Linked DNA regions of Styela clava. The protein of the gene in region 1 purifies or fractionates together with the protein of each later gene. This does not show direct contact. Links are inferred from orthologs where the notes say so. Each region holds a gene or a part of one and is shown on either strand. Other genes may lie near its edges.

Region 1 (7,595 bases):
AATTTATTTAAACTCACAATTGTTATTACTCTAAAATCGCGCAAAATTATCATTGTTAGCGCTGTTAGGTCGGGTGAAATTTTTTGAACATCCTGTATTTCCGTATATAACTGTTTTGAGTGATTCAAGGACCTTGTTGCACATAAACACAGTTGTTTATTTGTAACGCTTTGTTTGTCGTAGGCCACTACTCGTTCATTACTGACATCTGCACTGTTAAAAAACACGTGAAATTTACTTGGATTCGCTTTATATAATAAATCAAGAATATTCGATTCAAAATGACCAGCCCTGGTAGTGGGCATGGAATTGTCACTGAAGTCATCAAAAGGACACCGGTCACGGTCTGATGAAAGTATTTACGACATTTTTAAAGTCTGCGTATTTTTCTCAGGCGCTTGTAATCACACGTGGGCCGGTTTTTAAAAGTATTAATATCCCTGTACCATACTTGTGCGGTATCCATGATAATTAGGTTTATTTTTGGAACAGGCGTTCTGATACCACACACTTGCACGATAGTGTTTCGTTTAGAGCAGACATGAGCAAACTACAGCATGCGGGCCAAATCCGGCCCATTGGGTAGTTCAATCTCGCACGCCTGATGCTGCCACAACCAAATTAAAACCAAATTTAGATGCTTAGCTAGAAAAATCTCAAAAAATTTGTTGAAATTGCGATTAAATTCAGTTTTGCCACGAGGCTGATTGTTTTCCACTTTTGCAACAATAGAAATATTGTTCATAAAATGTATCTTTTTACGTCACACTTACATGGCCCGCCAGACAAGGTGGGCAAAATTTTCGGCCCCTGGTCTAAAAACCGTGCCCACCCCTGGTTTAGAGAGTAGTTCTCAAATTTGATTGACAGCGGGCCAAAATTAGAAGCTGAATGATATTCCCGGGCCAGGAAAGAGGTGCGCTTCAAAGGGGCCTATGTCGGTACCGGCACGGCACGTATAATAAGGATGACGAACAATTGTTACGAATATACAATTTCGCAGCACGATTTTGTAGTGGTAACAATCAAAATTTTCTTTGTCTCTGTTTAATAATATTGTGCTTGTCGTTCTCGTTTATCATATAGTAAAATTGATTCAAACTTACAATTGTTGTTACTATAAAATCGGGCGAAATTTTTAGTTGTTATTACTGTGGAATGGTGACCGTACATTTGAACCCATGTGTATATTCGCGGATTCAATCTATACGCGGGTGCTAAACCCATGGGTTATGGTTAGTATGGGTTCAACTATCCGTAAAACAAAAAAAATTTCCATAGGTGCAATAGTATGCAGGTGCAATCGTCGTGGGTTAAAATGTACGTGGGTTCAAATGTAATGGAACCTTGTGGGACACCCTGTATTATTTCCAAAGATAACTATTCTGAGTGATTCGAGGACATTGGCACATTCGTATATCGGTAACGCTTCGTCTGTCCGAGGCCAGTACTCATTCATTACTGGCGTTCATTTTTTAATGAGGATAACGAATAATTGAACTGTTACGAATATACACGTGCTTAAATGATAGCGATGATAACAATTCTCGGTAAACATAAAGTTTTAAACTATTTCACTCAAGTTAGGCGGGCCCTATTAAAACGTTACGGGGGCTGTAATTGGCCCGCGGGCCGCGGTTTTGGAACCACTGGTATAAGCTAATAAGTAGCTTGAGCGGGAATGAGATATACTTCAGCCTGTCTTATACCAGGGCTACTCAACTATTTTCACCAAAGTTCCGTTTACGAAACTTCAAAATTACTGGGGTCCGGACATTACAGAAAATTTATTTCATCAAATAAACGAAATTTCAAATGCAATATTAAATTAAATACAAGAGCAATGAATGGCTCGCAAATATGAACACAAATGTCGCACATCGGTACCAGTACGACAAACTGTGTAGCTGTGTATTTAAATTGTATCAAAATCCTCTAAAACTAAAACGATGCTTATGCTGCCAAAATAAACAAGCAGATGCGGTCCAAATGAAATGGTCGAAAGGTCCGGATTTGGACCGCGGTCCGCCAGTTGAGTAGCCCTGTCCTATACCATAAGTTATCAAAGTGCTGCGTACGGAGCCCCACGGATTCGTGAGAGAAATCCAGAGGCTCCGTGAGTTATTCATTTACTTAAATAAATCTTCAATGTTTTTAAGTACTAGTACTAGGCTAATACATCCGAGTCTTCAAACAAAGTAATTTTTTTCAATCAGGGAAATAAGTCGGTAATTAACAAAGTGTTTTTGTTTTTTAATTTTGTAAATTTATTTGTGGGGCTTAGCAAAAATAGTCAATCAATATTTGTCCGGACAGGATTTTACCAACTTCGCACTGCCTGTTTAGTGTATTAGATCCCGAGTTCAAGGGACTCCAGCGATACCAAGATTGTTAGACCGAACTTATAAGCACTATGCCATCGTTTTGTTGCAAATTTTAAGCATACTTCAGACTGCGTGCTTAGAAATCAAATTATCTGACTTCAGTTCTAGTAGATATTTAACAATAGCGAATTCGTACTTAGGAACTTAGGATATAAACTGATCCAAATACGCCGTAAGTCGATGCTCCACATTGTTTCTATATCCATGAAACTGTCCATCGCCGCTGTGATCATGACAATTCCACACGCCATCAAAGTCGGTGACCGATAAAAGGGGTGAATATGATCACGGCCAGGTGTGGAACTATACCGCCACCTAGCGAATATAAAATAAGTCTTAACTCGGCGGTAATCTTTTAACCCCGTTGGACTGGGTATTTACAAAATAAGTAAGATATTAATTAATAAATAAATTTTGACGAAATTTCATTTAATTTTTATGATTTTTATTGGTACTTGCAAGACCGTGCATATTTAAAAACATACTAATATATTTAACTGGTTACTTACGTGATTTCAGGTTTGCTCTATCTATCGCGTTTTGTATTTGTATATCTAAACATCTAAATAGACTACCGGTACCAGAAAAATGTTGAAAATATTAGGAGGGACCATGGCTCCTCAGGACTCCCTTTTTGGCTACCGTTGCAATGGCGGCGTGGCTCATCGTGCTAAGCGTTAAGAATACGCTCGCCATCGCACTTCTGATTACTCTGCGTGGGTTCGCATCCCATGAGTGATGGTTATGTGCGAGAGGATTGCTGGACTCCTCGCCGCCGTAGGGTGGTTCACGTAACCGCTGGTCGGTTAGGGCTTCCTCCACCATCAAGTCCATGCTTCTGAAAACAAATAACTAACTAATCTCATAATTGACATGGAATGGTAACCGGACGAGAGGCCGTTGTTCGCCATATGGTTAAGCCGTCTTATCGGCTTTCCTCTCCCCGGGATAAATATGTAAATCTTATCATTATTCTGCCTTGTTTCCGAGTCTCGTTATGGTATGCAATGATTGGAGCGCAGTCGAAATACGGTATACAAAACCCATCTTTAACAAACCGCTGCTCGACAATCTGTTGTTTAAAAGTACCGGTAAAGAATTTTAGCCTAGTCTATCACAGCTATTTCTACACTAATTTTTCATTACTGCAATTAAATTGAAACTCCTAGGAAGACAGAGGTATCATTGAATTATCTGATTTATATTTAAATTTCAGAAACACAACTGAAAACTAACGAATAGAGTTCAAAAACGCGAAAACGAGGTAATGTTTACGGCAACGCCTGAAAATTTGCCTGAGTGAAAAAAGTGTCCCAGTGGAAAAGGGGGCATTGTTACGTCACTTTTCGCATCTTGCGATTAGCCAAAGTCATGAAGTAAACAAGGAAGTTGATGCTCGAGGAAGTCCATACCGTATGGGGAACTACGGCCTTTCGTCCGTTGCCAGATCATTTCGGGCATGGAAACCGGGTATTATGATGTTTCTCTAACCGCTGACTGGTTACGGTTACATTACGAACCATTTGAGTGCGTGCATAGAAAGTGTTGAGTTTTTTGTAGCAGACCTTCGGACAGATAGCGATGAGGACCAACTGTGACTTTTATCGGAACCAAACTTATATCGTGACCAAATGTTCGATGGTGTGGCTCAACGGACTAAGCGTTAGGATCCTATACGCTCGCCACCGCACCCCTAATTACTCTGCGTGGGTTCGCAGGTTCGAATCCCATGCAGGGATGGTTATGTGCGAGAGGATTGCTGGACTCCTCGCCGTCGTTGGTTGATTCACGTAACCGCTGGTCGGTTACGGCTTCCTCCACCACCAAGTCCATGCTTCCAAAAACGAACAATATAACTAATCACATACCCGACTTGGAATGGTAACCGGACGAGAGGCTGTGGTTTGCCATATGGATAAACATTCTTATCGGCTTTCCTCCCCCCGGGATAAATACTGTTTCAGAATCCTATCTTATTCCATATGGTGGTTTGTGCAAATCATTGACGCATTTTAGTAAAATATTGACTCAGTCCACCACATCCTCTAAGTTCCTATTATCGGTCTCCGCCTTATGTTGTTGCCGTTTCTCTGATTTCTGCGTTTTTAATTTCAGACCTTTCTACGTTTTTTTCTGCATAATTTGCTACGTAATAGGCGAGAAGACTAAGAAATAATAAGTGTTAGATTATTATAGCCTAATAGATTGGAATTCAAGAAGGAACATTTTGAAACTGCGTCAATAAGGTTTTTGATACTTGTCACTGACTGCCGTACAAATACTCAAAAATCGTTTAAAATTGGAGAAATTTATTTTGCCGTTTTGACAACATAACTGTACTGAAATAATGCGGCGTGCTGGGACCGGGTATTCCCCTATGGGGGGACAACAACGGTCGGTTTATGGAGAGGAGAATGACCGTATGGAAGAGGAATTAAAACATAAAGTTTCCGCTCTTAAAACTTTGACAATTGATATAGGAGAAGAAGTCAGACTACAGAATCGGGAATTAGCGGGTTGGTAAAAAATTTATTACAATGTGCTGTTAACTGTATCTGTAATAATATTCCTATGTTGCTTGAAACGCAAATAAGTTTTTAACCAATGTGATATTGGGTCTCGTGTACTTTCGCACCTCAATACTGTAACTTCTAGTGGAGTTGTCGTAACAATTTTGCATATTTGATTCCTAACCCCCACCTGACTACGCCGTCCATAAATTATGTCACTGCGACATCAAAATCATGTCATATAGCTTTCTAAAGCATAGCCATGATCGTCCGAAATGACAACTGCGCCGACAATAATGAACTTACTAACACCAGCGATCTCTCTCTTATCGAGGTTGTTACGGGGAGAAAACAAGAGAAATTGGTTGCTCGTCTCGAGGTAATCGTTGCGTGTTTTAGTCTTTTGGACGATCATCCGAATATTTTGGCGTGCTTTGTTTCGTCACTCTGTCGTAAATTTTGGATGCTGTAGTTAGGTGGAGATTAGGAATGACATGACTTGGCACGCGCTTTTAGTTTAATCAAGTCCTCAATTTTCAACAGCTCATGCCAAATATGGTACCAATAGAGTTCCGCCCGAGACAGACTCTTACTGGTAACTGAACGAGAGGCCGTGGTTCGCCATTTGTAATTTTCAAGTCCAACAACAACTTATTTATTTTCCTTTCCAGGTATGGACGATGACATGGACAAGGTTGGGGGTTTTCTCGGATCAACGATGGGTCGACTGAAGGGAATAGCGAGGCACGGATACGGAAAAATGTACTGTTACTTATTCCTCTTTGCTATGGCGGTGTTTTTCGTCATGTATTGGATGATAAGACTGAAATAAGAGGAAATTTTCAAAGTTATACAGATTTTAGATGAATTTAGATACGGATTAATGGCTTGGATAGTTCGAATACTACTAGAAATTTAGAGAGTTGTTCTCGGAAAATAAAGTCCATGGACTTTGAAGTGGAGGGGTAGATTTTTAAACGCTAAACTCACTCAAATAATGGCTCGATATATTCTGAAAAATTCTTCTTGGGTCATCCTTGAAATTTTAACGCACAGTGCAATTTGGAAGAAAATATCTTGAGTCTAGTTTAGTAACACATGTACTCCTAAGTTTGGGTTAGGAATGACATATGCGAAAAATTTATGCCATGTCTACTAGAAGTTATTTTGGCAAGAAACTGCACAAGACCCGGTATCTCTCTTGAGAGAATTTTTTTTATAAATTTGTGGACATTGTGGTAACATTAGTTTGAAGATTAGAATTTGAATTTTTCTTAAAATTTTAGCTTTAAATATCTTGTATATTTTTTCTGCTCTTTGGAAAAGAAACTTTACAATATCATTGGACTTTGTGCTGGTTGCGAATGCTTTGAACTTGAATTTTCCAACTCTTTTTCATTTCAAATTATTCAGTCATTCAGCAATCCTGCATTCAGACTAATTTTCACAATAGTGTGATCAGTGTGATAAGCCTACCGTTTGTTTTTCTGATAAAGCAAATATCAAGTCACTGCTTAAAGTCGAATTTAACCGGGATATTTCTAATATCAAGTAGGTACAAACAGTGGGGTACAGCCAAGGGGTTTTCGGTCTTGTAACCTCTGTTTCAAAATTATTAAAAGACTGGAAAATTTGCCAATAATATGTGCGCTTGCATTTTGCTAAAAATCGTTGATTGTCTTAGACATTTTAGATTCTCGTTGTTGTCATGGAGTGAATATTTTACATGGCAGAAAAGTCATTTTACGCTGAAAAAGCTGGCTCCTTTACCGAACGCGCAATCACAGCAACTGTTTCATAAGGTTGAAAATCCTGGCTGTGCCCTGGGTACAAATATTCAGTAGGTATTTGTCATAGGTCAGTTCTTACGGTGAACCACCCTGCTATGGCGAGGAGATGTAAATTTTTGGCAAAAATGTTCAGGAGAGGCAATAAAATGGCGACCCTATGATAAGCTAACCTTTTTTTTTTCTTGTGTGACCAACGATCAATATATATTAACTTATAGCCACTGCCTTGGTCGGATATACTTTAAAATTTAACTGATTCATAACTGCATTTGACTTTATTCAAGTTTAAAATATACAACTAAAAATACTATAATGACTTCATCTGCAAAATAAGAAAAAGGTTAGAACCGCATATCTACACAAAATGTAATTTCATCAGTTTTTTTTTGATTGTTTGTACGGTTACATGCTAACAAGGTCATGTTCAATCAATCAGAGGAAAAGTTGTTTTAGGGAAAATTGCTTGTTAACCACTGACATAAAAAATTATACTTTGTCTTGTTGCCAAAATAGCGTCTCCTAACTTTTGTTTATTTATTTTTCAAAGATTTTATTTTGCTCTTTTGATTTTTTTTTGTCACGACTGGTGTTGTAATTGGTGCTGCCTATTATTAACTGCTTTGCCGTAACAGTTTAAGTAAGCTATTCGGTGTGTTTGTTGTTAGTTATTGTTATTTGTGAACATTATTGCTTATACCAGGGTATTTTCAAATGTATTTAAATGAAATATTTTTGACGTCAATCTCATGTTCTTGTACAATGTTTATCAGGGATGCCCAAAACCCAATCGACTCTTCGGAGAGGTTTAAAATTATTTACCGTAAATTTAATTTAAAAATCTTTGATTTCAGGAATGAATCAAAAAACTTTATGTATGATGAAAAAAATTTATTCAATTTCATAAAACTTAA
Region 2 (8,034 bases), on another chromosome or scaffold:
AAAGTCGTAATTATTGGTCGAGCGCTTTCGCGATTGAAACGAGCTCTCTTCAGAGCAGTCAATTCCGTCGATTGTAAAAAATTAAAGTTTAAGTAAAAGAAGTTAGAGTTCCGGTATTCGCAGCCGTTTTTTTCTCTCTTGTTAGGCAGATGGGGAAGGCATAACGCGTCATTTACTAACCTATTATCAACTTATCTAGGATGGCCAATGTACATATTAACCGTAGATAAAGAATAGAATTGTGTTGAGACCGATGGACGTCAACACACCTGGTTTCAACTTCTTCGGGTGAAATGACTAAAGAATGTAAGAGATCAACTTATAAAACATGGTCTTTTTGTAAATGCCGTGATAATTAATGTCGCGCTTATCAAACAGCAATATAAAGACGGAAGAGAAATTGCGTAATGAACCGACGCAACTTCGTCTTTTCGGCATCGGTAAAGCGATTGAGACGGCAGAGAAACAACAATACGACGGGATTCCCAGGGTTTTTTCTGCGCGAGATCCATTTTCTATTACAAAATCTTGATGTTCTGTTACCGATTTTATCGTTATATATCTGTCCGGACTTGGCATTTCTCAATATGTTTTTCACAATGCCTCGCAATATGTCGGCCAAATATGATTACCTGTCTTTACCAAATGCGGCAACTTATTTTGATTTATCGTCGACTCGAATACCACCGGCACTCGACCAAACTTGTGTCAATCTTGGCAAATAGGATTGTCGACTTGAGTTAGAAAAATAAATTAATATTTTCATGAGTGCAAAATAAATGTCACAAAATGCATTGTTTTGCGACATAACTTGGTATTTTCAGAGAAGGCATGTCATATAAGTACGGTATTTTAAATAATGCGCAAATAATTAATATTTGATCTAAATTTATCGCAAATAATGTTATAACTTTTAGGCCGCGAAATGATTTAATGTAGAATGAAGCATGGAATTCGAAATATCGTCAATAAGTCGGCATCAATAATTATCATAAAATGCTAACTAAGTAGTAAAGTCGGATATTGTAGAAAACGGTGAAATAACAAGTCTTCGTCGCGAGGCAAGCGAAAGTATAATCAAACGAGAGAATACGCTTGTAGTTGATTATTAAATTAGCAACCCGGAATTTTTATTAAGTCGTATTAATACGTTAATACGATTTTAAAAAAGTGAACTATCGTTTCCTAAATATATTACCAGTGTTGGTAATGATAAAATTGATCGCATAAAATTTGGTGATAAAGTGGATAAAAAAAATCAAAGCTAATACAAAAGATAAAAATCAGAATAAAATTATTTTGAATTCACTTATTGATATTTGTCTTTAACATCTGTAGCCGGCGTGTAGTACTGCCGGGAATATGAAAACCAAACTCCGATGTCCCATTCGGAATAGAAGTGGATTAAATTGGTTGTTATGATAGGTTTAAATGTGTGAAAAAAATATCGCAATTACGGGGTCATTACGTAATCGATTTGGCCGTAATTACGGAATTGATTTTTGTCAATTACGTGCAAGCCTAGTCCGTCAACATCGATAAACTAAATTCCGACACAATTATCAGTCTACGCAGGTATTAATTTTAATTTTGTTTAACTACACAATTTCTTTATAGATATTTTGACATGACCGCCTAGAGTTAGACTAGATTGTCTCAAAATATATGATAGCAATTGTAAAATAATATAAAATAGTAAAGTGAAAAAACCTCCTCGACGGTTATAGGTAGGCCTTCTTCTTGTCGGTGCTGATTGATATTCTTTCATGTTGGCTTTGTTTTATTGCGGCGACGATTACGATTAGCCACAAAATAAAATATTTGTAAAATGCTTTTAATTTGAACGTAGGACGGCGGCGCTAGAATGTGTGGGCGATATTCTTTTAAACATGAATAACGATATTCGAAGGTCGCGATATTAACAATAAATCTGAATTGGACATCCCGGATCAGGATTTTTCTAATTGAACACCGAGATTACTAGCCTGTATCTTAATCAGTTAAAGCATCTGGATGCCAAACATCAACTTCATATTATGTGATATATCTCTTTTTCGATCTGAAATAATGTGTGCTATGAACAACGCTCAAAGACCATTGTTTTAACCCGTCTGCCCTACACAGCACACCTAATTAAGTAATAATTACATAGTATCGGTATCGGAATATCGGTAGTATCGGCCTTTTTGTAGTATCGGCGTATCGGTATCGGTATCGGCGTTTTTAGTTGGTATCGGATCGGTATCGGTATCGGCGAAAAAAGTGGTATCGGTACATCTCTAGTGCTGCTTTTTGTAAGCTATTAAAAACAGAATTTTTCATGATTACATGTTTTGTATTCGTAAAATAGACTTTTTTTTAAATAAAATTTTTGTTAAAATTAAGCATTGCTATATATTAAATACTAGAGTGAGGGTTTGAACAATATCTTCTACAATGAGTTAGAATGAAAGAAAGGTTTCTTCAAGAGGAATAAAAGGTAGGAAAAGTTTGATTCATGGATTTGTCGAAGAGGCTTTATCTGTTCAACCATTGTGCTTGGTGGCAGAAAACCCGTCATCTTCATTTTTTATTCTGAAATATTCCAGGGAATAAATACAATTTCTTGCATAAGGTGCTGTGGAATATGGGCATTTCCTTGCAATTGTGAAGGTCCGATCCAGGCGAGTGACACTGCATTCCTTTGATGACGCTATTTACCGATGTCAGCATTTCTGCAAGATCGTGGTTCTTGGCGTTTTTCGCTAACACTTTTACAAGTGCTTCGATGTACCAACTTCCATGATGAGTGTTGCGCATTGCCGCTTGCCCTCGCTGAGTTGCATATCCAAATAGCATGTCCGATCGTGTAGGAAGACGAGGTTCGTCAAAGCTGTAATCAAACGTCGACGTTGTGCACCGAGATTTTCTGATCTTTGCGCCTCCGTCGATCTCATCGATTCCCCTGTCATAGAGATCCCCTCGACACGCTTGTACAAAGAATATTTTAGGTTTGTTCCGTAAATTCGGACAATTAGCATTGTCGAAAAGGGATATTATATCTTCAATCACTAGTGTTTTCCCATCGCGGCCATAGACAACTCCCTCTTGTCCGTGGGTAAGGAGGGCGACGACGCAAGCGTCGCGTGATTTATGATTTTCATTGCGCGCAAACGTCTCCAGAGAGCTGCTTATCTCTGAGGCAGTACGATTTTCCACAAGAAGTGTTTCGAATCCTAAATGATGTAAAACGGATCCAAGATTTTCTTTATCTAAATTTCCTCCTTGTCTTTGCGGGAGATCAACTCCGTTGTCGAATTCAGTCACATTTATGATAAGCGCATATCCTCTCGGTCGTGACGTCATCTTATATCCCCGGTTGTAGTTTCCCCGATAGAATTCTAGTGTGGACTTTTCGACCAACAAATTGCTAGGACCATCATGAGAGTCTATGGGATTTTCCATTGAGGTCAAAATATTTTCTTTTGCGTGGAATTTCGTATCTGTCCTGTCGCGTCCTTCGAGCAGGTTCGAGTTTTCATCTCGGGGACCTTCGTCAAACTGCAGAGCCTCCGCTAAATAGTCCTGTTGCGTCTCTTTTAAACCAGTTACTAATTTTTCAAATGCCAGGGGTCCTCTCGTGGGTAATATATTTAAAAAGGCGACATTTTTACCAAAAGTCGTGCATTTCGATTCGATTTTTTCAACCATTCTATCGCTTAAAATTCCTTCTTGAACCAGATATTGCAAGAGTTCGCTGATGTCCAATGATCGTGCCAATAAAAGCCTATTTTTCTGTAATATTTTTTTGCTCAATCGATCCATCTTTCATTAATTATAGACGAATACCTATCGTCTCACTGAACAGAGATACCGTTCACTAAAAGAAATCCACAAGAACATATTCCGAACGACCCCGCCGGTTCTTGAATTTCAACGAATGTTTACTTTCGTTAGCCCTTTAAAAAAATGGCGTTTCTCTCTTTAATCTTGTCTCTCTCGTCTTTGTTTCTCTTTATGTTTCTTTTATATTCTCACATGTGCTTTCCTATTTCAATACGCTCGAATAGTTTCTGAGTGCAGAGATAAAATGAGATTAAATTTATTAATATTGGACACGTCAAGCCTGGGGCTTCGCTTACGGCTAGCCTGTCTTTTACTGGTTAGCGTAGGGGGCAGTCACAGTTTGAAATTGCTATATTAGATGCTAAACTTACATTGTATATATATTTTTTCGTATATATAAATATATATATACAAATAGGCGTGATAATATTTTATCTTTATTACTAACCGTATTTTCCGAGCGCTCATTGTTTTATAACCTAAGTTCTGAAGTCATAACAAAAACATGTTGGGTTTAGTTTTCAATAAACTCATCTCTGCAAAGCTTGGGGACATAATTTTTTCTTTAACTTTATAAAGCCATTTAGAGAGTAGCTTGATATTTTTTCACTAATATTCTATGTCACGAGTTTAAATTAATGTGTAGCGAATTAATGGGGTCTAGCGAAGTACAGGCCGTAAGTAGTTAAATGACAGCAAACAAAAATGAATTGTGAAAATAAATTCTGTGACAGCGTAAATAACGCAAAACAAAAATGTAATGTAAAATATACAGCCCAAATTTTGAGTTTTTAAAGATAAGTTTGTCTTGTACGGAAGGCTATTGATATCCTATTTTGCACGACCTGCTTAGTTTAAAATTGGATGGGTATGATTTAATTTAACGCTGAATTTCATTCCGCCAGATCACCCTTTTTTTCAAAAACATGAAAATTTCATATCACATTTTTTTGCTTTACAATATAATACTGTAATAAGGAGTTGTTCTAGTTTTCACTAAGCTGAATCAACATGTTGAATCGCCGAATTATTTTTGTATCAGACCCAAAAGACATCACCACAATCAGTGAATTTAGAAATTTGAGAAATGGAAAAATGTTTATTTGCCTTATTGACTTGCCTATATACTGATATATGAAATCTTTTTCTGTTTCCAGTATTTTAGCTCCTATATTTATTTTATATTTGTTTAAGATGGAGAATCTATATCATCAAACCAATAAAATGGTTCATGAGATCCAACAAAATATGGGACGATTAGAAACGGCACGAGATGAAGACATCCACGTCATTGAAAATGAATTACAAGCTCGCATCGATCAAATTGTTGGTAATTGTGACAGGCTGGATATTTTGGTAAACAAAGAACATCCGACGAGGCGGCAAAATGCGAGGTTAAAGGTCGATCAAGTCAAATATGATTGTCAACATTTACAATCTGCTTTGCGTAATTTTCAACATAGAAGATATGTGAGAAATCAGCAGCAAAGAGAAAGAGAATTATTAATGGAAACTAAATTTACTACGAATGACGCCGATACTTCAATACAGATGGATGCCAGCTTAAATCACCATCATAAATTACAAGGTGCTCATAAGGGAATGGATGATCTCATAAGTCATGGCAGTAGCGTGATAGAAAATTTACGAAACCAGCGTGGATCTTTAAAAGGAATCAAAACCAAAATGCTAAATATTGCCAACACTCTCGGAATGTCGAACACTGTCATGCGTTTGATTGAAAAACGAACGACTCAGGATAAATTTGTTCTCTTCGGTGGAATGATACTTACAACAATTTTCATGTTTCTCATTTGGAAATATTTTGCTTAATTTTTTTATCTGTTGGTGGATAACGCTTATTCACAAGGAGAACGATTGATGCCATCCCACAAAGTCTGGGTCGTGCAATATTAATTACCATGAATGATATATATGTGTATATATAGGCTACTTAATTTTTGATAGCCAAACTTACTAAAAACTTGATACGCTTGTATCCCGGTGAAATTTTTGATATTTAATTCTTATATATATATATTATAGTGCATACTGAAATATTCATTTTTTGAGTTGATATGGTTTGTTTTACTTTTTCTCAATGCAAGGCAAGCTGAGCCCCATGCGCATGATTAGCACATTTATTTTATGTTGGGTTACATTTACTACGTTTGGAAGAACATAAATCTCATTTTTAGCATTGCTTACCAACTTTACACCTTGAGACATTGGATATCAATTTTTGAATGCATTTGTTGAAATTTATCTTTGGATGTCATTTGGTTTATAGTTATACTGGGCTTACTTTCTGAAAAAATTTAGCTGTTTTACAAGGAATACTACAATATACTTTATTATATCAACTTTGAAATCGAACAAATCTGAAAATTTCATCAGTTTGATCAATTTCCAAATTTTGTTAATGATTGAGTGAAACCTATTTTTTTTTATAAATATCGAACTACAAATCTGAAAAATTCATCAGTTTGTTCAATTTCCAAATTTTGTTAATGATTGAGTGAAACCTATTTTTTTAAGTTTGTTGCTGGAAATACTGAGTTTTGAAATGAAATCATTTTAAATAGTTATCTAATCACAGATTTGCTATATCCATAGGTATAGGTACTGTAAGGCTGAAAGAACTGAGTTCGCTGAAATAAATGGCAGACAAGCCTGATAGAGGCGGCCAAGCACGATTGAATGAAAAGTGTTAAAATAAAACAGCAATTTTTTTGAATAAATAGTGGCCCTTCCCATCTTCAAGAACTGAAAATTTGAAATCCATTAGCGAAAAGTCTTTTTTTCTCAACAACAAGATAGGTCCGCACCTTGCCCAGTAACTAATTTTAAATGTATTTGATTTGTTTTTCTCAACCCTGGTGTCGTGTTATTATAAATATTGTCAGTTGTCACTATTTATCAACTTACAATACATCAGGATAAAGATATGGACAGAAAACGGAATGAGATCACATTCTCCTTGTTTTTTCCAACATTATTTATTTTTCAACTTTAATGTTCTCTCTAACCAACTGTTAGTTGGGTGATTTTTTGTAGAATTATCAACTATAGGGAATTTTTGGTTGACCTTTTTTTTTAAACATCTTTATGTATTCTTTACAAGTGATACATTGTTACTTATCGATTTTAATCGGTAAGTATGTTGATAGGTATTTGTCTGTCTGTCTGTTAGATGCACGCGATATCTCACGAAAGCGAGATTGAATCTGCTCCAGGTTTTGCATGTGCATTCATCTTATTTCGGACCAGAAGTCTATTGATTTTGGGCGAATTATGTCGTATAATCAGCGAGTTATTAATTAGTGATGGGACACAAGGTGTCACTATGGAGTAAGAGTGCTGTTTTGGGGGATCCCCTAACTTTCGATCGATAAGTCTTCGGTCTAAGACCGAAATTCTCGTTTGTTTTTTCCTCTATTTCACATCGACTGCAAGAAAAAACTGTTTCACTTGTATAATCTTTGTGCAGCACATGGCACATGAAAAAATGCTCTTTTACTGAATCCATTGAACCCTTTGTTTGTTATGGGCTACCTAAAGTACTATTTGTTTCTTTTTTTGTTTAAGCTTTCTTGTGTAAATCAAAGTTGGAACCGGCTATATATGATATACAGATATAACAATTTAAGGTTTATTCTTTTCCTTCTTAACATGCGACTTCATCAGCAGCTTTAGAAAGCAGCAAAGATTGAGTGAAATGTAATAATTGGGCCATTTTTCTATTCAACAAATGGTTTTCTATGACAGGTTATATAATTTTAACAGGAGAACACAAAGCGAATTCACAACAGCTATTTCTAATTTTGACCAAAATCTGTATTTTTAATCAATATTTTCTCAAACGTAATTATGTTATGAATGTTAAACTTTCATCCAGTTACATGATAAAATATAACTCTATATCTTTATAATAGAATGGACCAAAAACATTTTTTCAGGTAAGGGTCATTTTTTTTATTCAATGCGTATCCACGACTCTCTTTCATTGAACAAGGTCCTGTACAAATATCGGAGCTCCCGAAGTATCCGTACCAAGATGGCGCACAACCTGAACATAGTATGTGTACCAGGTCAGGGTTCAGTTTGCGTCATCTTGGTACACATATTTCCGGAACGCCCAAATATCCACTGATATTTAACAATATATAGGGAGCTACTATGAATGACTTGATTTTTTTCAGTTCGGCC

The links.
Region 2: the proteins of BET1 homolog (region 1) and Golgi SNAP receptor complex member 2-like purify together in Homo sapiens (affinity purification with mass spectrometry; 3 studies listed by BioGRID and IntAct, with this or other methods). This does not show direct contact. The link is inferred for Styela clava from reciprocal best matches to the Homo sapiens genes BET1 and GOSR2.

Annotation. Positions count from the first base shown.
Region 1 is NC_135259.1:21,485,929-21,493,523, forward strand, and holds the start of BET1 homolog, read left to right. Parts: upstream 1-4,488; 5' UTR 4,489-4,731; coding exon 4,732-4,900; intron 4,901-5,565; coding exon 5,566-5,726; 3' UTR 5,727-7,595. UniProt on the Homo sapiens protein: Required for vesicular transport from the ER to the Golgi complex. Functions as a SNARE involved in the docking process of ER-derived vesicles with the cis-Golgi membrane.
Region 2 is NC_135263.1:5,712,224-5,720,257, reverse strand, and holds the start of Golgi SNAP receptor complex member 2-like, read left to right. Parts: upstream 1-4,979; 5' UTR 4,980-5,019; coding exon 5,020-5,658; 3' UTR 5,659-8,034. Other genes in the region: caspase-2-like, read right to left, coding at 2,563-3,804. UniProt on the Homo sapiens protein: Involved in transport of proteins from the cis/medial-Golgi to the trans-Golgi network.